Linked DNA regions of Canis lupus familiaris. The protein of the gene in region 4 interacts with the protein of the main gene of each other region in a pairwise test. Links are inferred from orthologs where the notes say so. Each region holds a gene or a part of one and is shown on either strand. Other genes may lie near its edges.

Region 1 (3,971 bases), on a different chromosome or scaffold from region 4:
CTACTCTATATGCAGGAAACAAAGTCTTCCGGTTTGGAGCAAAGAAACGGAGACTTCTTAACTCCTAAAATTAAAAGTATTTAAGATATTTTTAAATTTATGTTTTCTAATTACGCTGTTTTCTCTTACATTAGAAAGGCACTTATTGGCAATGGGAGAAACAAAATCTTGATTAAACAAAGATTACAATGAATATATATTTTAATCCAGTGGATAAAGTCACAAGTGTTAGGCTGATTATGTTAAGATTTCCAGGTTCCATTTTTCCTTTTTACTTGTTAAATAATAGATAAGTACTACATTCTATTGTCAACAAACTTTTAAAGATTAGTGCTATACTTTATTTTTTTTTATTTTTTATTTATGATAGTCACACAGAGAGAGAGAGAGAGAGAGAAAGAGGCAGAGACACAGGCAGAAGGAGAAGCAGGCTCCATGCACCGGGAGCCCGATGTGGGATTCGATCCCGGGTCTCCAGGATCGCGCCCTGGGCCAAAGGCAAGCGCCAAACCGCTGCGCCACCCAGGGATCCTCCCTAGTGCTATACTTTAATAAAAATGTCTCCAAAACTTAAGGATGTGCACAAAAGTTTAAAGAATGTGAATCTAAAAAAAAAAAAGTGAATCTATTTTGAATCCAGTTTAAAATTCCAAAAGCAGTTATTAATTATTCTCTCCAAAAGCATGAGCAGTATATATTTGCCATCTCTGCAATGTTTTTATATATCTATAAACGTAACATTTATATATATAAACATAACCTGTGTTTTTTACAATAAGGAAAACTGGAAACTGCACAGACATCCAAGAACTGGGGACTGGTTAAATAAGATATGTGATAGCCGGGTAATGGAATATTTATTTAGACAATAAAAGCTAAGATCTTTAGTACAACTTATACAAGTAAATCACTAAACAGTGTGTACAGTATAATCCCATTTTTGTTTTAAAAAATGTCTGTGTACGGTGGTAGGACCATGGGTGCTTCAACTGCCGTGCATTCTTTTTCTACACTGATTTTGTAATAATTTTTTCCAAAGAATAATTTAAACTCTTGTTTCAGATCAAAATGCAAATGCTACCTTAACTTCACAACAAAATAAAACAAAGGAGTGGAGTCAGAGAGAGAAGTAACTAGCTCTAGCTAGACTTAGCTGTAAGCATCCATGGGTTAGTTGAACTGGGTGTTGGAAGTCGAATGATATCAGACAAATTGGCAAATTACTGAGACTGAATTTTATATGATTCAATACTTTCTGTAACCTAGTTAGTTAAAATTCCAGTGAATTTTTGTTGGGAGGTAATTCTCCATGGTCTCTATTGGTTCTTCATGCTTTACAGGCAAGCCATTCACTGCTCTATGCTCTGGGCTATTGTCTCAACCTACGTGTAGTGAAAAACCCCGAAAGGCATGCTTATTGTCTAGTAGAATAGATTAAGGTTCCCTAAGCTCAAGGTTCCTGTGCAGTATTGCAACACACTCGCGTGCAGGTGACTTCTGATCGTTTCATCACCAGGTGGCAAGCGGGGTAAAACTGCTGAGATTTTGTCCAGTGTCATGGCTCTATGTCATTTATTTCTGCATCTTCCACAAAACTGTGGCAAGCTAAATTGTTAGTGTGCAAATAGTATAAAATCTCTCTGGCCCTTCCCGAGCTCTTGACACTTTTAAAACTATGCTTCTGGGCAGCCCCAGTGGCTCAACGGTTTAGCGCCTGCCTTCAGCCCAGGGCGCGAGCCTGGAGACCCGGAATCGAGTCCCACGTCGGGCTCACAGCGTGGAGCCTGCTTCTCCCTCTGCGTGTGTCTCTGCCTCTCTCTCTCAGGAATAAATAAATAAAAATCTTTAAAAAAATAATTTCTAAGAATAAAATAAAAATAAAACTATGCTTCAAAAAAAAAAAAAAAAACCTCACCAATGTGCATAAGCTAACTTACGTCAACAAATATTTTGTTAGTCCTTTCATACTTACCAGCATTATTACGGTGGAACATCAGATAGAAAACCTGAAGAAAAATAGCACAACTATGTGTTAGAACTTTAGTGATTAAAAATCGTTACCTCCTTTCATTTGAGCGACTCTACTCTAGTTTGGTGCCTAATGTGTAGGTGCCCTAGCCAACTAACTGATAAAAAAAAAAAAAAAAATTGTACTTCGATGTGTCAGAAAGGGGGGGGGTCTTTTGAAACCAAGACTGCATCCACTTTTAACAGATTTTTGTGTTCTCAGTGGTCTGACTTGTCCCACAAATACCTTCATTTTACTATACTGCATTTACAAAGCAATTTAAAACGTCTTAAGGGTCCTAACATGAATGTTCTGGGACAATATCCAAGTTTTTTTTTTTGTTTTTTTGTTTGTTTGTTTATTTTCTTTTTTAATATAAGCTTCATCTAGCCTGGATCATGGTTTCGAAACCAAAGTATTTAAAAACCGATTTCTCTGTCCATTAACCTCGGCGTTTCCACGGAAGGGGGGCCTCTGCCCTCCAGCTCCCCCCCGCGAGCAGGTCCGTGGGCCGCACACACCGAGTCAGGCCTCGCTCTCCCACACACCTGCAGGGTCCGCCCCGGACGTAGACGCAGGCACCTCGCTGGGGGTCATCCCCCGTGAGGAGCCCGGTGGACGAGGACCGGAGCGCCGGGCCGGGCCCCCAGGGCTCCTCACGGACCCGGACCACGCGTCGGCAGCCGTCCTGGCCCCGGGGCCGCTCCCGCAGGCTCTGCCCTCCGACCTCGTTCCGGAGCCTGCCCCTGAGGGGCACCCGACACGCGCGCCGGCGCACGACTTCCCGCGCAGGCGCAGTCCCGCTTTCCCAGCCCGACGGCCCCGCTGCGGCGCGTTCGCCGTTCCTCGGCGGCGGCTGCCGTCACTTCCGGCGGCGTTGCTAAGCGACTGCGCGCTTCGGCAAACATTCCTGCTCGCCCGGCGTCGGCGTCGCCTTGCCGAGTCTCAGAGTGCCCGACGCCTCGTCAGAGATGCTGGCGCGGGTTGGAAGGCGCTGTGGAGGTGTAGGGAGGGCGAGGGAAAACACAGGTGAGCTGACCTGGCCGATCCAGGCCCGGGGCGGGGGGGTGGGTAAGAGGCAGGGGGGCCGAATGGGAGTTCTGGTTACTCTCTGAGAAGGGCTCCACCAACTCGAAAGCAGCCCCATGGGCATCGTTGGGCTCTGAGTAAATGCACAGGTTTGGCTTCAGATGAATGGGCAGGTGGGAAACGTTCACACAAATAGGAGGGGAGAAAAGATGAGTCAGAGACTCCTAGGTGACCAGCCTCGAGGTGTGCAGTGGCAGCTCCAAGAGTGTTGTGTTCACTGAATTCCCTTAAGCTTTTGTTATTCGTGAGTGACTTGGAATATCTTTTGGAAATATCAATGACTTCACTAGAGTCTTGTCTGTGCTGAGAACCTACTGTGCCCTTAGGAACGTCTCTAATGGAAATTTATCTCTTTTCTTTTCTTTTCTTTCTTTCTTTCTTTCTTTCTTTCTTTCTTTCTTTCTTTCTTTCTTCTTCTTTTTTATAATAAATTTATTTTTTATTGGTGTTCACTTTGCCAACATACAGCATAACACCCAGTGCTCATCCCCTCAAGTGTCCCCCTCAGTGCCCGTCACCCATTCACCCCCACCCCCCGCCCTCCTTCCCTTCCACCACCCCTAGTTCGTTTCCCAGAGTTAGGAGTCTCTATGTTCTGTCTCCCTTTTTGATATTTCCCACACATTTCTTCTCCCTTCCCTTATATTCCCTTTCACTATTATTAATATTCCCCAAATGAATGAGAACATATAATGTTTGTCCTTCTCCTATTGACTGACTTCACTGAGCATAATACCCTCCAGTTCCATCCACGTTGAAGCAAATGGTGGATATTTGTTGTTTCTAATGGCTGAGGAATATTCCATTGTATACATAAACCACATCTTTATCCGTTCATCTTTCGATGGACACCGAGGCTCCTTCCAGTTTGGCT
Region 2 (4,208 bases), on a different chromosome or scaffold from region 4:
ATTTGTCAATACAAAAGCCTGGAGAGCCCAAGGTGGGAGGCTGGGGGTGCTGAGAGAGGAGCCATGTGGAGGTGGTGCCCACTCACCAGCGAAGCTGTAGCCTCCTGACCTTCTCAGGGCCACCCCGACACACACAGCATTCGAACTCGTAGAACCTGGAAGTGGGCGAGGGGGAGAGAGCGTGGAGGACTTATGAATAAGGATGGGGTGCGTAGGGGAGGTGAGCTTCAGAGGCTGGGGAGACATGGAGCTGAAGCAGCATGGGGGCCTGAGAGGGTAGAGCAGGGCAAGAGTATTCTCCCTTGGCTCCCAGAGAGCCAGCCCCATCTCACCTGTCCCCGTAGAGGAGCGGCTTGCTCAGACACTGGGTGCAGGCCTCATGGAACCACTGCAGGCAGCTCTGGCACTGCAACATTTTCAGGTTCCACCTGAGAGGGAACACAGGACTGGTGACCTCCAGACACTGCCCCGACCTGAATGGCCCCAAACCCTACTCACCACCTACTTCTGCTTTCTTCAGCACTCCCTTCATCCTATTTTTTCTCCTTCATTCCCCAGGATCCCCCCACCCACTCCATCATTCATTCCCTCCCCACCACTCCTCCACCCCTGTCCCTCATTTACTCACTCCCCAGGGCCACCACAGTAACAGTAGCTCTGCTGTCGGTTGCTCAGATGTCCAGCGTCCCAGTCTAGCCCCTTTAGTCCATATGGCAGTGACAGCTTCATGCCCAGCATGGCCCGGGCATAGGGGCCCTTCTTCAGTGCACCCCCCCTCTGCAGGGAGGAAACAGGCCACCTCAGACGGGTAGGGAACAGGAAGGCTTGGGAGAGGTGGTGGGGGAGGCTCCCACAGAATGGTGACCTTACCTTGGTGGCAATGGCAAAGACACACTGGCGACAGACCCAGGATGTGCCCTCTCCCTCTCCAGGGGCTGGGGCTCTTGGAACGTGGCAGTCCTGGTGATAAGCTGAATAATGATAATATTGATGGTAGACCATTTATTGCACAATATACCTGTGTGTGCTAGTGACTGGGATAGGAGGAGTCTGGGCCACCTCATTTCATCTTTGACTGTGATCTGGCTGCAGTAGATAAGTTACCCTTATTTTACAGGTGAGGAGACAGGCTCCTAGGGGCTTGGGAATTTGCCCAAGGTTTTATGGTTAGTAAAGGTGTATTTGAACCATCCTCTGTCTACAAAGCCCACACCTCCTGATTCCATGGCTATTTCTCCCTGTGCTGGAAGAGAGGTTACAGAGTTGAGCAGACTGGCCAGAGCAGTGGCTTGGGGACTCAGCCAGGACAGGTGGCCTAAGGATCAGTGGTGGAGGGAAGACTTAGAGGCAGCCTGGAAGGTTCAGGGCAAGCTAGACCATTTAGGTATCCTGCCCTCTCACCGTGGCGACACTTCTCACAGCTGACCAGCCGGTTTCCAGGGACCACAGTCTCAGAGCGACAGACACAGCAGAGGAGTTCCTCCCCGGGGAGGGCAGCTGTGAGGGAACAGTGTTGTGGGGCCTGTCCTTAAGCCCCCTTTACATCCCCCAAGCCAGGTTTCTGCTTTCCACAGCATGCATATATTTGGGCCTCTAAGGTCTCACCAGGGCTAATGTCTTTCCATAGAACCAGAAACTGGGAATCGTCCTCAAACTGGACCAGACACACCTCCCGGGAACTGTCCACCTGGAATGGATGAGCACAGGAGATGAAACAGGAATCGGAACTACATAAGGAGAATGGGGGGAAGGTAATAAGTCAGAAGTCAAAGGTCTTACTTTCTTGATGGTCCCCAAGTATAGCAGTCCATCCGTCCACCTGGCCAGCACATCTTGACCCTCCCAAAGTCGAGGCCTGGGGCCTGAGGTGGGAGCAGGGGAGGCTGGGTCCCAAAGTGGGGGGGCACCAGAGCGGCTCAGCCGGGGGGGCTGTGCCATTGCATCCTGGGGGGGGGGGCTATCCAGAAGTGGGATGGGAGAAGGTTATGAATGTTGAGAAACTGTCCCCATTTTTCTATGCCTCAAGGACTCAAGCAGCTGTGCTACCAGTCTCCAAATATGAAATACCTGGATAGGAAATCACACAGCACCCCTCCCAAGCTTCATGACTCCAGCTTTTCCAACTCTGGTGACTGGCTCTCCTCTCCCTAACACCCCCCACCCCCCAACCTAGTTCTCTAGTTTCCCAGCTTCCAGAGCTCCCCTGGGATACTGTATCCTGGCCTTGAGATTTTAGGAGGAATGATGGTTGCAGAAGCAAAGGTTACCATTCAGTTTCTACTGTCACCTTCTGTTTAGAGATACTGTAATTGGGGTGTTCTGCTACCCAGAGAATGTGTTTTGGGAGCTTTTCTGGAAATGTTTTCCAAATTAGAAACGGCTGCCTCCCCGGGCCCCTGTGTCTCCAGAACAATAATCCCGATGCCAGGTTATGGCAGGTCACCCTCAAATACGGGGCTCCCTGTCCCCCGGGTTAGATAACTTCCTTGAGTGCCCTGGGAGGGGGGCGTGTCCCAGTCCCGGTCTCTACTCCCCAGGACAGCGAGTCCGAGAGGGGACTTGAGTCAGCCCAGCGCGAGCTGATGCCTGGGCGGCGAGGCTCTCCCGCCCGCGCCCTGCGCGCCGACCCCCGGCTCCCTGCCCCCCCCCACGGGCGCCTCCCGCCGCCTCCTTACCAGTGACAGCTGGGGCCGCCGGGAGCCGGGCAGAGGCAGACGTGGGAGACCGAGGCGAACCCCCCGCGCGGGGAGGGCACGTCTGGGCGTCGGAGGGCGGGCAGGCAAGGGCCGGGGGGTCCCCAGGCCCAGCCCCTCCGTCCCGGCAGCTCTGGGGCGTATGACGCAGCAGCCAAAGCAGCGGCAGCGGCAGGAGGAGGCGGCGGGGGGAAGGAGGGGAGGGGAGGGGAGGGACAAACCGGCTCGGGGGGAGGGTAGTGGGAGGGGAGGACTGAGGGGAAGGAGGAGCCGGGGGGGGGGCGGGCACCACCTCACCCCACCTCCCTCACCTCCAACGGGCCTGGAGGGCGCCGAACGGGTGGCGGCCTCCCCACGGCTGGGGCGGGTGGAAAGTCAAGACCCAGTGCGAGAGGGAATCCCTGCAGCCCCTTCCTCGGAGGGAGATCCGCCCTCGGGGCAGCAGGGAATCCCCCCCTTCCCCGCAGCTGGTCTCCAGCCTGGCCCCCGCCCCATGCCACATCCGTTAACTGCCCCCCCAACCTCCATGGTCACTCCAAGTCCCGCCCCTCGGCCCCAGTTCACGACCCCGCCCCCCATTCACCCGTCCCGTCGCCCCCGCCACGCCCTCCTCCCTCGAGTGCCCCGCCTTCCTCCCGCCTTTGCCCCGGCCCCGCCCTCCCCGTGGTAAGTCTCCCCCCGCCACACCGCCGCCGCGCTTCTGCGCATGCGTGACCCCTCCCGCGCGCGGCACCTGGGTGGACCGAGCCCCTCCTTTGCCGGGCGGTGGCCGTTGGCGGTTGGCGCGAGCGAGTCAGCGGGCGTGCAGCCCACCCAGCGCCTGTAGGGCGGGTACACGGACCGGGAGAGCTAGTAGCGAGGCGGTAACGCCGCCGAGAGCCAGCCAATGGGCAGCGGGCGGGCCGGCCCCAGTTCTTCGAATGGGACGGCAAGGAAAGAGCGGGAGGGAGAGCCCGCAGTTTGCAGGAGGGCTCGCTGGCCCGGCCTCTGGACTCGGGCTTCCACTTTCCCGCACCCACCAGACGAGCTCTCCGCGTGGAGCTGGGTGGCCTGCGGCAAACCAGTGACGGCGGTCGGCCAGTGGGCACATCTCCTAGAGGCGGACAACCAGGGTAACCATCTAGTCTCCAGGAGATAGCCAGGTAGAGAAAAGCTGAAACCCTTGCTCTGCAAAACACAAATACTCGGCAGAGTAGACGATCCACAGTTCCCATTTTTACAGATACGGGCCATTGTTAACAAAACCTTTATTTAAAGAAAAAAAACTTGTTCTTTATTTGATAGACCCAGGTCACAGAGCGCCCCTCCCCCCAACAAAGCATCCTTCAGCGCCACCCCCACCCCCCCTTCCCAAACAGAGGATCTGGATCTGTCTTCATTTCCTGTTAGCCTGGGCCGTACCAATAACACACTGGTTCACCTGCGGGCAGAGGTTTTAGAATAAAAATATTTTGTGAGTAACCAAAATAACAGTTTTCTCCAAGATCACCCCCCACCCCCAATATTGGGGCTGCC
Region 3 (4,234 bases), on a different chromosome or scaffold from region 4:
GTCAGCCGGTGGTGACCCCCAAGACAGGACGAGGCATCCTTCCTCTTCCCCTGACTCCAGTCAGGGCCACTATTGGCCAAACCTAACCAGGAGCCAAAGAACAAGGCAGCCTGCAGTCAATACAGCACAGCCTTCCAGCGCAAGAACAGGGTGGAGCCACGTGGAGGAGAAATCTGGACAGGCACATGGGAGACAGCAAGCTACTTAGCAACCACTCACTGAGTGACCACTGAGTGCTTGAGTATGAGTTGGCAAAGGCAAAGAAAAATACCTAGCCCTACAACTGCCCTCTAGCTGATGCCAACCAAGACCAAAATGTCTATTCTAGATAAAAAGTGACTGGAAATATTCTAGGTCTGTTCCTTTCCCCCACCTCCAGTACAGCAACTTAACTTGTGAAGTAAATCAAAGAATACTAAAAGTAAGAGACTCGAGTTCTTTGCTGAGTAAGAATAATCTTCCTGTTTACCTCCAAGACCATGGAGCCAAATTCCTTATCTTTGTATAGCTGTTTTGCACAGGCCAGGATGGTGGAAGTCTTTCCTGTCCCTGGAGGACCATAGAGGAGCAGGTGGGGCAAACGGTCTTCACTGATAAATTTTTGAACTGAGGAAGAATGAGAGAGCCCATCAGTTTCAAGAGTTACCTGATTTACCTTGGGCCCTTGGGGTTGGCCTGAATGCACTTCAATCCCATGTTCAAATCAGAGACAGATGCAGGAAAGAAAAATCCGAAGGACCTAGCTCACAGAGCAACATTCCATACAGCTCAGTCAGATACTTCGAGGTTATTACTCAGCAGAGACATAACCAAGAAATTTATACAAGTCTTCCAACTAGAATGACAGCAACTGACACATGGATGCTTACTGGTACTCAAAATGTCCTGATGAGAAATCAGATCATTCAGCGTCTGTGGCCGGTATTTTTCAACCCTGAAAGACAATTTAGCAGGGATTACAATATATACCAATGCAAGAACACACTGTTATGTGCAAAAGAATCCTTTCCTACCCTAATGAAAAGAGGAAGAGAAACAAAATCCTCTAAGTTTGAATACAGACCACTGGTTCTCAACCAGAGGTAATTCTGTCCTCCAGGAAACACTCAGTGATATCTGGAGACATTTTCAGCTGTCACAATTGGGTGGAGGTGCTACAGGCCTCCAGTGGATAGGCACCAGGGATGTCACTAAACCCTACAATGCACAGGACAGTCACCATGCCCGCCTCCACCAAGCGTCTAGCCCAAAATGCCAATAGTGCTGCTCTAATTTCACTTTCCCAGCTGTCTGCCTATAAATAATCTCAACCTGGATGGGCACCTATTATTTCAAAATAAATTAAAAACTGAACTCATTGGGGCTCCTGGGTGTCTCAGTCGGTTAACCATCTGCCTTCAGCTCAGGTCCTGATCTCAGGGTCCTAGGATCCCACTCTGCATCAGGCTCCTTGCTCAGCAGGGAGTCTGCTTTTCACTCGCCCTCTGCTCCTCCCCCACACTCACGTTCTCAAGTAAATAAAATCTTTGTTAAAAAAAATTGAACTCATACCCAACTATACATCAAAAGATGAATGGATAAATAAATGGTGGTCTATCCATACAATGGAATATTATTCACCCATAAAAAGCAATGAAGCCATGACACCTGCAACAGTACAGGTGGACCCAGAAAACATGATGCTGTGAAAGCAGCCCAGTCACAAAAGGCCACATACTGATTCTATCCATGTAAATATCCACGGTAGTCACTCCAGAGGCAGAAAGCAGATTAACGGTTTCAGCAAGTGGAGTCTGGGGGTGAGGGGGGAGATGGCGAATAACTGCCAATAGGTGTGAAGTTTCCATTGGGGTAAAATGAAAAATTTTGGAACTAGACAGTGACCTGGTAGCACAACATTCTCAATGTACTTAAAGTCATTGAATTACACACTTTACAATGTTTACAACTGTAAATTGGATGTTATGTGTTCTTTCCATGAGAAAAGCAAACTGAACTCAAGAGACAAGACCGACCAACTTGGAGCTTTCAGAAGAACTCAAGCTGAATCCCATCAGTTTCTAAAACACCATCCAGATGCAGCCGTGGAAGTAGGATGCTCAAGAGGGCAAGCTCTGATTTCACCTGGATGCAAATCCCAACCTATTTTCCTGCTCTGGACCTCAGGTAAGTCATTTAACCTTTTTGTTTTCCAACGGGAATAACGACCTACCTCCTAGGGTGTTTGTAAAGATCAAGCATCTAACAGGGTCCCCGCTAATCTAACAGGAAGCCATTTAAATACAACTCGACTGGGGAGCATTATTAGGACCGTTGTCCTTTCCGTTGAGAATTTGAGCAACATTGCCTGAGGATTCCGGCAAGGGTGGAGAGACTACTTTGGCCCGAGGCCGATGCAAAGTCAGAAGAGGAGGGACTGAAACCTCTACGCTGTCACCCAGTGAATACCAGGAATGGGGGCGGTGGGGGTGGGGCAGCGGGAAGACCTGGAAAAGGCCTAAAAGAACGGAGGGCGCTGGGGGTGTCAAGGCGAAATTCTGGGGCTCCGGCCGGCCGCAGGTCGGGGGCGGTCGGGCGAGGTCACCGGTCCCCTTTCCCGCGGCTGCCGGGCCTCCTCCTACCAGGGCAGGTTTCTGATCTTGGCCGCCGCGGGCTGCTGCTCCTGCTGCGCTGAGGTCTCCATGGCGCGGTGAGAGAGGCGTCCGGGCCCGCCCGCGTCGTCGCGGCCCCCGCGGTCCCGCACAGCTACCCGCCGCGAGCCGACCCCGGCCGGGACCCTGGCTCTCAGAGTTCGCGCGCAAAAGCAACTCTCGCGAGATGTAGCCTCCTGCTTCCGACTTCCTCCCTGGGTCCCGCCCCCTCTCTGTTGCCAAGGGGTCGGTTACCAGGTTACCGGGAGGCGCCGGCCGCACGCCTCCCTCGGAGTCCGCCCTTCCAGCCCCCGCTGCCCTCCCGCGCGCGCGACGGAGCTTCCCGGGCCCCGGGAACCCGGGAAGCTAGAGAGGCGAGGCCATCCCCTGCAGCCGCCAGTCGTCTTTACAAACTAAGTGTCACGGCCAGAGCCAATTCCAGCTACCAGCAAAGTTCAAACCCTCACCGTTCAGAGGAACAGAGAGCGTCCAGCCCTAAAAAACAAGACAAACAAACCCGAGGATAAAACAACCGCGATTCCCTAGGAAAAAAGACTCCAAAAAACCTTTTGGCCCCAAAGCTGGGAGGTGAGTACTTCGAATTGATGAACAACTCCAAACACACACAACTCCAATTTACCTCCCAAATCCATGCCCCTCGCCCAACAAAATCTAGAGAACCAAGTTCCGGAAGCAACCCCAGTGAAAAACAAAAAATAAACTTCCAGTTAGGTTAATGTGTGTGACTGGAAAGCGCTAGTTACCAAACATGGAGGACAGGGACCCTGTGATCTGAAGATAGGAGAACCAGTATTGAAATTTTTTCTGCAATGAGGTGATTATGGAGCACTTTTATTTTCTTCTATTTTGCTGATCTGTATTTCCCAGCAATATGTATTACATATTACAGATCACATGCTTTATCCATAATAAAGTTGTTTGTTGTTATTTTTTTAACATGTTGAGAAGGACATGAGGAAGAGAAGGGAGAAGACATGAGGCTGGCCTGAGTCAGGAGTGTACAGATGCCAGAAGTAGCTACTCCTAGGCCACCTGGGTGGCTCAGCCAGTTAAGCACCATCTGCTTTCACCTCAGGTCCTGATAATTGAGCCCTGCGTCATTTACCTGCTCATCAGGGAGTCTGCTTTTCCTTCTCCCTTAAATTAAAAAAAAAATTTTTTTTAAGTAGCCGCTCCTTGCATCTTATTACATCACTGGCACCTGCCCCAGGAACAGAGTAGAGGGACAGTTGGGCAAATACATGATGGTGACTATGCTTCACACTAGCCCCTGCCTATAGACTCAGAAGAAGGTGGGGAGGGCGGTCAGATGTGGTTTGTAGTATGACTGTGGCTAACTCTAACTCTGGTTGTTGAGGCCCTTAGTGTGCCACTTTGCTGCTTAGCTTTGGGCAGCTTGCCTCTCTTCTAGTCTAATAACCTCTACTCCAAAGGTGTCTCGAGAATCAAGTAACACATGTGTGGCATCTGGTACATGGCCACTTTACTCTCTTCTTCCCTTCTAGCACTTTCCACCCACCCTATTTGTGTTTCAAATGTTTCCTCTCAAGCAAAAGCCTACTCAAGAATTGGCTGGTGTGACG
Region 4 (4,103 bases):
CCCCACTGCCTCGCCCAGACCCTTCACCCTTCACCATCGGACATCGAAGCCCACCCCTCAGGTGTTGCTGAAGATGATAGTACGTGGCTTCCCAAAGGACCAAGACGGAGGCCAGCACCCACAGCTTCCTAGGAACGCCGGGAGCCCCCTCCACCTGTGGGGTCCTGAGGGGCACAGAGCAGGACACCCGGGCTCTCGCCTGCACCTCCCCCTTAGTTGAGGAGGGCAGCACTGCAGTGGCTGGGGTTGGGCCGTTGGGGTGGGGGGCGTGGGGTCCTGGTCAAGGGGCAGTGAAACAAACCTGGGGAGCGGAAAGATTCTCTAAGGCGAATAGGCTGAGACCTGGGAGCCGAGCACAATACTGCGTGGGGTCCTCACCTCATGCAGGCTGAGCTGCTTGCCCTCCCTCCGCTTGGAGTCAAAGCGGCCGTAAATGATGCTGTATTTGCGGATCTCCTCCTCCTTCTGACTGTCGTTATCGTCCATCTCAAAGATGTGTCCTACGCTCCGAGCCAGCTTCTTGTTCAGCTTCAGCAGGGACGTTACCTCCCCTGCGTCCCCCCTGGGGAAGCTCCGGAAGATCCTCTCCACACTCTCCACCACCATGCGCACCATCTCCGGTTCCAGTCGATCTGGGCCACCCCCAGCCCCGGCTGCTGCCAGCCCCCCAGCCCCAGTCCCCTCGGGGACTCCTCCCCCTGCAGGTGGGGAGAAGGGGGGTGAGCCTGCCTCCTCTTCTCCTCCCGCCCCAACGTCGGACTCTGGAGTGCTCCGTCCTGGCCAGATCCGGGGGTCTCCTGCCCCAGGTCCCCCAGGCAGCGGTGACAGCTTCTCTCCAAGTTCAAGGGGGCTCTTGGGGCTGAAACTGCGGGCACTGCCTGCCTTTTCCCCTGGGCTGCTGTGCCCGTTGCTCATGCTCCCTTTCCGGGTGCCTGCAGTCTCGGAGATCTTGAAAAGTGGAATACTGGAAACAGGCACAGCAGGCACAGGCTGGCTGAAGAGCCCTGGGTTGGTGGCCCATTCTCTCAGGGCCTTCTGCAGGCGTCGGACATGGAGGGGCTTGGTGGCCATGCCCACAAGGGCCATGATCTCCAGGAACTCCTCCTCACCAGCCTCACACAGTTGCTGCACATCGTCCCCTCCCTGCTGGATGAAGGTCTCATAGTAGGAAAGCAGATTGGCGCGCTGCAGGACCCGGTACAGCTGCAGCTCCCCCAGTGTCCGAGGCAGTGCCATGGCTCGGGCACTGGGCCTGGAAAGGAGGAGCGCGGTAGAGAGGGAGGCAGTCAGTACAGGTCCCCCTGCTGGGTACCCACCCAACACTCATCCTGCATCCTCTTCCCTGCCTGCTTCTCATCCCCCTCCTCTGAAGGCTCGCTCTGCTGGATACCCAAGCTTGAACACAGACTATGAGAACTGGGCATTACCCAGAGGCAGAAACACCCCAGTGCCACACCAGACTAGCCACAAGTCAGCCCAGTCTAGGCTGAAACCAAAGACTCTTCGCTACCATTCTCAGTTTTTACTTTTCTGCCTTGGGGCAAGGAGACCAGGAGCACTGAGGCCAGCCACGGCCCCCGGGATGGCTGGGCCTCCTCCTCCCCTCAGCACGGGTCTTCACCCTCCGCCCTAAACGCCCGGCAGTTCCAGCATTACTCAAGGTGACTTTCCAAACTGAAGTGCACGTAGGACCCCGTGGCCTCCCCACAGTGGGCTCCTGGGACCACTGCCGGCCAGTTTCACTGCCTGGTGGCATCCTACCCAGGTGGCTGCGAGGGAGGGGTGTGGCCCTTTCCCACTCGGCGAGCTCGGCTGCGCTCCCCTGAGCTGCTCCCCTGACTGCTCGGGCCCTCCCCTGTCCGGGCTGCCCAGGGCCCCTCCGAGGGCCCCTCTCTGGGCAGTGACCCTCTCCACCTGCTGGGTAGGTAGGCCGGTCCGGTCCCTTCGGCTCAGGCACGGCAGGGAGGAGTGCCTCAATTGTTCTGCTCTGGGGCCGTTCCGCCCACGCACACTCCTACAGTGGCAGCGTCCGTGGGCGAAAACCGCCTGGGGGCTCCCACCTCTCTCCTCTCCCTCATTTTCCACCCACACCTCCAAGCGGAGCGGGGGAGACGCTCGAGGCCCCCGAGGGAGGGGCTGCACACCGAAACTCCCCTCCGCGGGCCGTAAATAAAGCTAGAGAGGAGAAGGGGCGCCTACGGCCAGCCCCGCGTCTCCACGGCCCTGCGGATGCTCCGGGGCTCGGGCTCGGCGGCGCCGCTCCTCCCGGACCCTGGGGCCCGCGCACTCCGTACCGACGGAGAGCGGGGCGCTCGGCGGCCCTCCCCGGCCCCGTGACCGGCCAGAGCTCCAGGACTTCCCCTGGCGCTCGGGGGCCCCCACATTGCTCGCAAGGGGTTCACGCGCCAGACCGCGGCGGCGGAGTAAACGGGGGATGGAGGATTAGGTCTCACTGTTTCACATCCAGCTTCACCCGCTCCCTCCCTGCTCCCCGGGCCCCCTAATTCGAAGACGCACCCCCTTTTCAAGCAGTCTCCACCCCCCACCCCCGTCCCGCTTCCCCTCCCGTCTCCCCGACCTCCGCCCTCCGGACCCCTTCCCGAGCCCGGCTCCACCCATCTCCACTCCCGCCGCTCTCCTCTGCCCACTAACTTGGGTCTGGGCTGCGCGGTCCGGCGGGCGCTGTCCCCTCCGCCCGGCGGCTGCTCGGCTGTGGGGGAGGGCGCCCTGCGCATGGACGGCCGGCGGCCGCAGGCTGCCCCTCTCGGTGCCCCGCGCTCGGCGCCTGGCGCGCGCTGCCGCGGCCGCGGTCCGGGCTCCGTCCCTCCCTCCACGTCTCCTCTCGGCGAGCCTCCGCGCCTCTGTGCCTCGGCCCCCCCCTCCCCGGCTGCGCCTGCCGCCTCTCCGCGCCGCCGCCCCCGCAGGACGCACGGGGAGCGAGGCCCGGCGCTGCGCTGGCTGCCGGGCGGGCGGAGGGCGTGGGCAGCGCCGGGGGCGGGCGCCGGGGGCGGGGGGCGGGCGCCCGGGCCTCCGGGCCGCGGTGCAGGCGCCGCGGCGGAGCGACGGCGGGAGGCGGGGCCGGGGGGAGGGGGCGTGGAGCGGGGGGCGGGGGCGGGGCCGCGGGGCGCGGGGGGCCGGGGGGGCCGAGGCCGGGCCGCGGGGGGCGGGGCGAGGTCGCGCGGTGCCGCCCCCGCCGGATGCGCAGCAGGCCCTCTCCGCGCCCACGGACCCACGTGAGCGCCCAGCCGGCGACATTCCTACCCCCCGCCGCCCGCTCCTACCCCGGGGCGGGGAGCGGACTTTCACCGCCACGCGCGGGCACACGGAACACGGAGAAGCGCACACGCGTGCACACGCGCCGCGGGAAGTCCGCGGCCCGCCGGCCGGGAGCCGGGGAGAGTTGGCGGGCTCGGGGTGCGCCCGTCGGCTGCCCGCGTGCGCGCGGGGCTCGGCAGGAATCCCCTGGCGGGCCCGGCGCTCCCCCGCTGCGACGGGCGGCCTCGCGAGGGCGGTCCTCGGGGGCCCGGGCCTCCACCCTGCTCGCCTCCCGGTCGGAGCTCGGGGCGCAGGAGCGGGCGGGCCGTGCTCGCGGCTACCGCGCCGGGTGGCCGGGTGGCCGGGGGTCAGGCGGGGGGAGGGCTTCCCCTCCTGCCTCAGCGCGTCGCATCTCTTTTGCTCCGCGGAATTCTGTGGCAAGGCCGGGACCGGGAGGATGGCCCTTCCGCGGATGTTTTTAGGGGACCAACTGCACTCCAGAGAGTCTAACGGAAGACGGGCTGGAGGCCGGGGAGTCCGACGTGGCTCCCGGCGGTGGAGTTGCAGGGAGGAGCTCTCTGCGGGAGCCGGCCCCCCGCAGCCCCCCCGCAGGCCCCCTCCCGTGTGTCTCTCCTAGCCCCATCTGGTTCCCATTACGCTCCCGCCCACGGCCCGGAGGTCGGGGAGGGGGAGGGGGCGGGGGCGGGGGCCGGCGGGGGCTCCCAGGGCCCGGTCCAGCCGCTCCAGGCCGGGCTGGGGCGCGAGCGGCCTGGCTGCGGGAGCCCCCCCCCCCCCCGTCCGAAGCCGCAGCCCCGCCCCGCCATTCCGCACTTGTGAGTGGCCCGGGG
Region 5 (3,968 bases), on a different chromosome or scaffold from region 4:
TGGTTAAAAAAGCCAGCCTAATCTAATATGGAAACTTCAATCAGTCATCCAATTCAAAGCTCTGGCTCCCTCTCAGTTCAGGTGTGACCTGTAACTCTGTGGAAGAGCAAAGGGAACGTTATGTGGATTAAGTTCTTCACTCTCCTATTGCACACTTTCTGCACTATTTTCTGGTTTCTCCAGGGTAAGGGCAGCAGGAGGAAGGGATGGTAATACAGGTCTGTTTAGAGTCAAATGTCCACCTTTGTCTTCACATGACCTTCACTCAACTCCAGTGTCTTGTCTTCTCTTACAAGGATTGTCTCTCGTTGGATTTGGGGCCCAACCCAGTGATCCAGGATGGTCTCATCTTCAGATCCTTAATTATATTTACAAAGCCCCCCCCCCCCCATTTTTTCCCAAGTAAAGTTGTCTGGATAGGTTTGGGGGAGGCAGATTTAGGAAGTGGCTGTATCTATCTTGGGGGCCGGGGCACCATTCAACCCACAACACTCATCAAATTGTTTCATTGAACCTGAAAGTGACCGGGAAAGCTGCGCGGTTTGCTCAAGCTCCAGCCCTGGAGCAGCCAAGGGGCAGGAGAGCCAACAGAGCAGCGGTGAGAAAAAATGAGTTTCTTGTTATACCCTATGGAGCGTCCCTGCTCGACCAATTAGATTCATTGGTGTCTCACTTAGTTGTGATAGAAACCATCGTGCGGCAGTAATAGCCGTTTGAAACTAAAGCCCCGAGTTTTACCGTCGCTTTGATTTTATCGGACCGTTGCAGGGAGAGGATGTGTCCGGATGAGCGGTGCCACGGCCACCTGGTGAATGTTCAGTACTTCCTTACCAAGGGACGCGGGCTAGGGCTGCAATACATACTTGTTAATTAATTACTGCATGAAATCAATCGCATCCGGCCACCGTTTTGTCAACCTTTCAGCTGAGCACTGCCTTGACTGAAAGCACAAAGCGTACGCCGTGGAGTTAGTTCAACACACTTCGCAGCTGAAAAACGCTCCTGGGGGCAGCTGCCTTCAACTCAGGAGGCCCCGGGGCCACGTCGCCCGCCACGCCCGGGGCCGCCCCACAGCGAGCGGCGGCGCGGGCTTGACGGCCGCCGGTCCCTCTGCGCAGACGCCACGTACCCAGCACGCATGCGCCCGGCCTGCGGTCTCCAGCCGCCGGCCTCGGATTGGTGGAGCCTCGGTGGCCCCGCCCCGCGTGCCGGAAGCTCTGTCCCGGCGCCGACGTCTCCGGAGATTCCCGGGCGTGTGCGCTTCTCGGTGAGCGACGCTCTAGGTTGTCGCGTGTGTGTGCCCGGCGGCGCTCGGGGACGCGCACCCCTGTTCGGGGACGCTCACCGCTGCTCCGGGAGGGCGCGGGGGGCCGCGGTGCGTCCCGGGGCGGGCGGGCCCTGTAGCGCCCTCGCGCCTCTTCTCGGGCTGACGTCGCTGGGGTGGGCGGATCCCCGGGGGCCGCCGCCGCCTCCGAGCTGGCGGCCCGCGCCCCTCTCCCGAACCCGAGCCCCCGCGGGCCCTTGCGCTGCTCCCTTCCGCCCTCTGCACCTGTGCCGGGGGGCGTCCTAACACGAAGGGACACTAGCGCAGTGTTGCGTGGCTGTTCGGAAACCGCGGCGCCCCGACCCAGCGTTTGGCATCGGTTCTCTCCCTGGGGGAAGGGGCTCCCCTGTGTAGCTGCAGAGCTGTGCGTGGGTTATGACTAGAAACAAAATTTCTCTTTGATCGCTCGTGTCCCCCGGGGATTAAGCCAGATGTGTGCAGATGTGTGCAGCGTGCCCATATTAGTTAATATTAACAAGCTTTTCTATGCATTCAGTCCACAGATATGTAGGGCCTGCACCTGCCCGCCCGGCATAGACTCATTTTCATGTATATTCAGAAGCTGGGGCAATAGGTGTGCACGTAAGCGTTATCTGTATTAGCATATGCTCTAGAACTGTGTTGTCCCATAGGTAACCACGAGCTACATGGAGCACTTGAAATGTTCCTGGTCCTAATTGAGATGCGTCAGAGTGTCAAACAGCGAATTTGGGGGAAATAAGTATGAAAAAGAGAATGTAAAATATCAACAATTTGTTTTTATTAATTACATGTTGAAGTGGCAGTATTTTGGATACACTGGTTAGGTAACATGCTGTAACCTTCACTTGTTTATTTTTTTAACGTGGGTACTAGAAAATTTTAAATTTTATCTGTGGCTTGCATTGTATTTCTGTTGGATAGCACTGCTTTAAAAGGGCTCAGCAAACTGTGGCCTACAGCCAAATCCAGCCTACCTGTCTTTGAAAAACATTGGAGCAAAGCCATACTCATTCTTTTATGTGTCGTCTATGGCTGCTGTTCCTGCTACCAGAGCAGCAGACTTGAGTAGTCCATACAGAGACTGGATGGCCTGCACAGCTTACAGTATTTACTATCTGGCCTTTTCCAGAAGAAGTTCGCCAACAAACAACAAAGTTCTGTACAACAGTGCCTGCCATGGAGATCCATGTCACGTGAATCTTTTAATTATAGTCCTGTGTAATTGTCATGTAGGCTTACTGTGTGACAGGCATGGCTCTAAGGACTTTATAAGGACTATCTCATTTATTTCCCATATTAAGCCTAAGATGCGGAATTTCCCCAGTTTTGTAGATGAAGAAACTGAGGCACAGAATCATCAAGAAACTTACGGAACATGCTCAACGCCCCTCGGCTTCTGTGAACTCTAGCTTCTTGACCCTTCTTATCCCCACAAGCTTGATCTCTGCAGTCCACTCAACCCACAGTGGGCACCATGGTGCTGCTGCTGCTACTGCTGCTACTCCTTTTTGTTTTGTCTTTTACATAACTTTTCGAACTAGAATTGAGATGAGGTTGGCTCATGTGGAAGAAGCTGAGGGGCAGTGAGCTTAGGTGCAGTGGGTACGAGCAAGCTGGTCTGTAGTGGAAAGAATGAAGTGTACAGGGGCGCCTGGGTGGCTCAGTCAGTTAGGCATCTGCCTTTGGCTCAGGTCATGCTCTTGAGGTCCTGGGATCCAGCCACGCGTCAGGCTCCCTGCTCAGGGGTGTGTCTGCTTCTCCCTCTGCCTCTGCCCCTCCCCTCTGGTTGTGCTCCACCCCAAATAAATAAAAAATCTTGAAAAAAAAAAAAGAATGGGGCGTACAAGCAGAGAGGAGAGGAAGCATTCTGGATCCTCTTTTCTCATTTAATAAGAATTTGTTGAGTAATAGTAAGAACTGGCCAGGTGTCTGCTGGGCGTGTCTCCGTGAATGAAACAGACATCATTCTCTTATGGTCTTGTGGGGAAAGCAGACAATAAAAAACATTTTAGGGACGCCTGGGTGGCTCAGTGGTTGAGTGTCTGCCTTCGGCTCAGGGCATGATCCTGGGGTCCTGGGATCGAGTCCTGCATCGGTCTCCACGCAGGGAGCCTGCTTCTCCCTCTGCCTGTGTCTCTGGGTCGCTCTCTGTGTGTCTCTTGTGATTAAGGAGAATCTTTAAAAAAATAATTTTAATGTAGTCTGCACAGTGAAAAGCCATCACAAATATTTGATTTTTTTAAAGACGTTTTTAAATTTAAAAAAATTTTTATGATTTTTTTTTTTAACAGGCTTCCTCATCTGGAAGATGGAGATAAGCCACATACCTGACTTGGGGTCATCGCAAGGATGGAGATGACATAAATGTGTGTGGCACGTACAGTTCAATAAATGTACATTGCCTTCTGCTGTTAAGAGGTAAGGGAGGGAATAAGTCCGGGGAACTGGGTGCATCGTGACGCTTAAGACATTGCAACCACCAGTTATAATTGTAGAGAAGAGTCTCAGGTGAGCTGTGCACAGGAGGTGTTTTTAATATTTCCTAATGGGGCTCAGTCAGCAAAATCCAAAAGCAGGGAAGTTCTATACATTCACTGGAGGAGCAGGTCAGGAGCTGTCTTTGGGCTGATGGCAGTGTAACTGAGTCGGTCCTGTAGCAGGA

What was found.
Region 1: the proteins of NAB2 (region 4) and PHOSPHO2 interact in binary tests that used the Homo sapiens proteins (3 or more experiments, as listed by UniProt). The two-hybrid records come from large-scale screens. The link is inferred for Canis lupus familiaris from reciprocal best matches to the Homo sapiens genes NAB2 and PHOSPHO2.
Region 2: the proteins of NAB2 (region 4) and PHF1 interact in binary tests that used the Homo sapiens proteins (3 or more experiments, as listed by UniProt). The two-hybrid records come from large-scale screens. The link is inferred for Canis lupus familiaris from reciprocal best matches to the Homo sapiens genes NAB2 and PHF1.
Region 3: the proteins of NAB2 (region 4) and RFC5 interact in binary tests that used the Homo sapiens proteins (3 or more experiments, as listed by UniProt). The link is inferred for Canis lupus familiaris from reciprocal best matches to the Homo sapiens genes NAB2 and RFC5.
Region 5: the proteins of NAB2 (region 4) and TCEANC interact in binary tests that used the Homo sapiens proteins (3 or more experiments, as listed by UniProt). The two-hybrid records come from large-scale screens. The link is inferred for Canis lupus familiaris from reciprocal best matches to the Homo sapiens genes NAB2 and TCEANC.

Annotation. Positions count from the first base shown.
Region 1 is NC_049257.1:14,699,342-14,703,312, reverse strand, and holds the start of PHOSPHO2 (pyridoxal phosphate phosphatase PHOSPHO2), read right to left. Parts: upstream 2,805-3,971; 5' UTR 2,557-2,804; intron 2,007-2,556; 5' UTR 1,973-2,006; intron 65-1,972; 5' UTR 1-64. Other genes in the region: CCDC173 (coiled-coil domain-containing protein 173), read left to right, coding at 2,980-3,037. UniProt on the Homo sapiens protein: Phosphatase that has high activity toward pyridoxal 5'-phosphate (PLP).
Region 2 is NC_049233.1:2,998,948-3,003,155, reverse strand, and holds the start of PHF1 (PHD finger protein 1), read right to left. Parts: upstream 2,805-4,208; 5' UTR 2,676-2,804; intron 1,958-2,675; 5' UTR 1,939-1,957; coding exon 1,780-1,938; intron 1,688-1,779; coding exon 1,606-1,687; intron 1,498-1,605; coding exon 1,402-1,497; intron 972-1,401; coding exon 871-971; intron 778-870; coding exon 629-777; intron 429-628; coding exon 333-428; intron 156-332; coding exon 87-155; intron 1-86. Other genes in the region: kinesin-like protein KIFC1, read right to left, coding at 4,069-4,113. UniProt on the Homo sapiens protein: Polycomb group (PcG) that specifically binds histone H3 trimethylated at 'Lys-36' (H3K36me3) and recruits the PRC2 complex. Involved in DNA damage response and is recruited at double-strand breaks (DSBs).
Region 3 is NC_049247.1:14,761,032-14,765,265, reverse strand, and holds the start of RFC5 (replication factor C subunit 5), read right to left. Parts: upstream 2,805-4,234; 5' UTR 2,684-2,804; coding exon 2,622-2,683; exon of another isoform or gene 2,269-2,621; intron 2,167-2,268; exon of another isoform or gene 1,983-2,166; intron 1,083-1,982; exon of another isoform or gene 935-1,082; coding exon 870-934; exon of another isoform or gene 607-869; coding exon 470-606; exon of another isoform or gene 1-469. UniProt on the Homo sapiens protein: Subunit of the replication factor C (RFC) complex which acts during elongation of primed DNA templates by DNA polymerases delta and epsilon, and is necessary for ATP-dependent loading of proliferating cell nuclear antigen (PCNA) onto primed DNA.
Region 4 is NC_049231.1:1,579,461-1,583,563, reverse strand, and holds the start of NAB2 (NGFI-A-binding protein 2), read right to left. Parts: upstream 2,803-4,103; 5' UTR 2,736-2,802; coding exon 2,653-2,735; intron 1,253-2,652; coding exon 379-1,252; intron 1-378. UniProt on the Homo sapiens protein: Acts as a transcriptional repressor for zinc finger transcription factors EGR1 and EGR2. Isoform 2 lacks repression ability.
Region 5 is NC_049260.1:10,113,175-10,117,142, forward strand, and holds the start of TCEANC (transcription elongation factor A N-terminal and central domain-containing protein), read left to right. Parts: upstream 1-1,164; 5' UTR 1,165-1,267; intron 1,268-3,596; exon of another isoform or gene 3,597-3,597; 5' UTR 3,598-3,724; intron 3,725-3,968.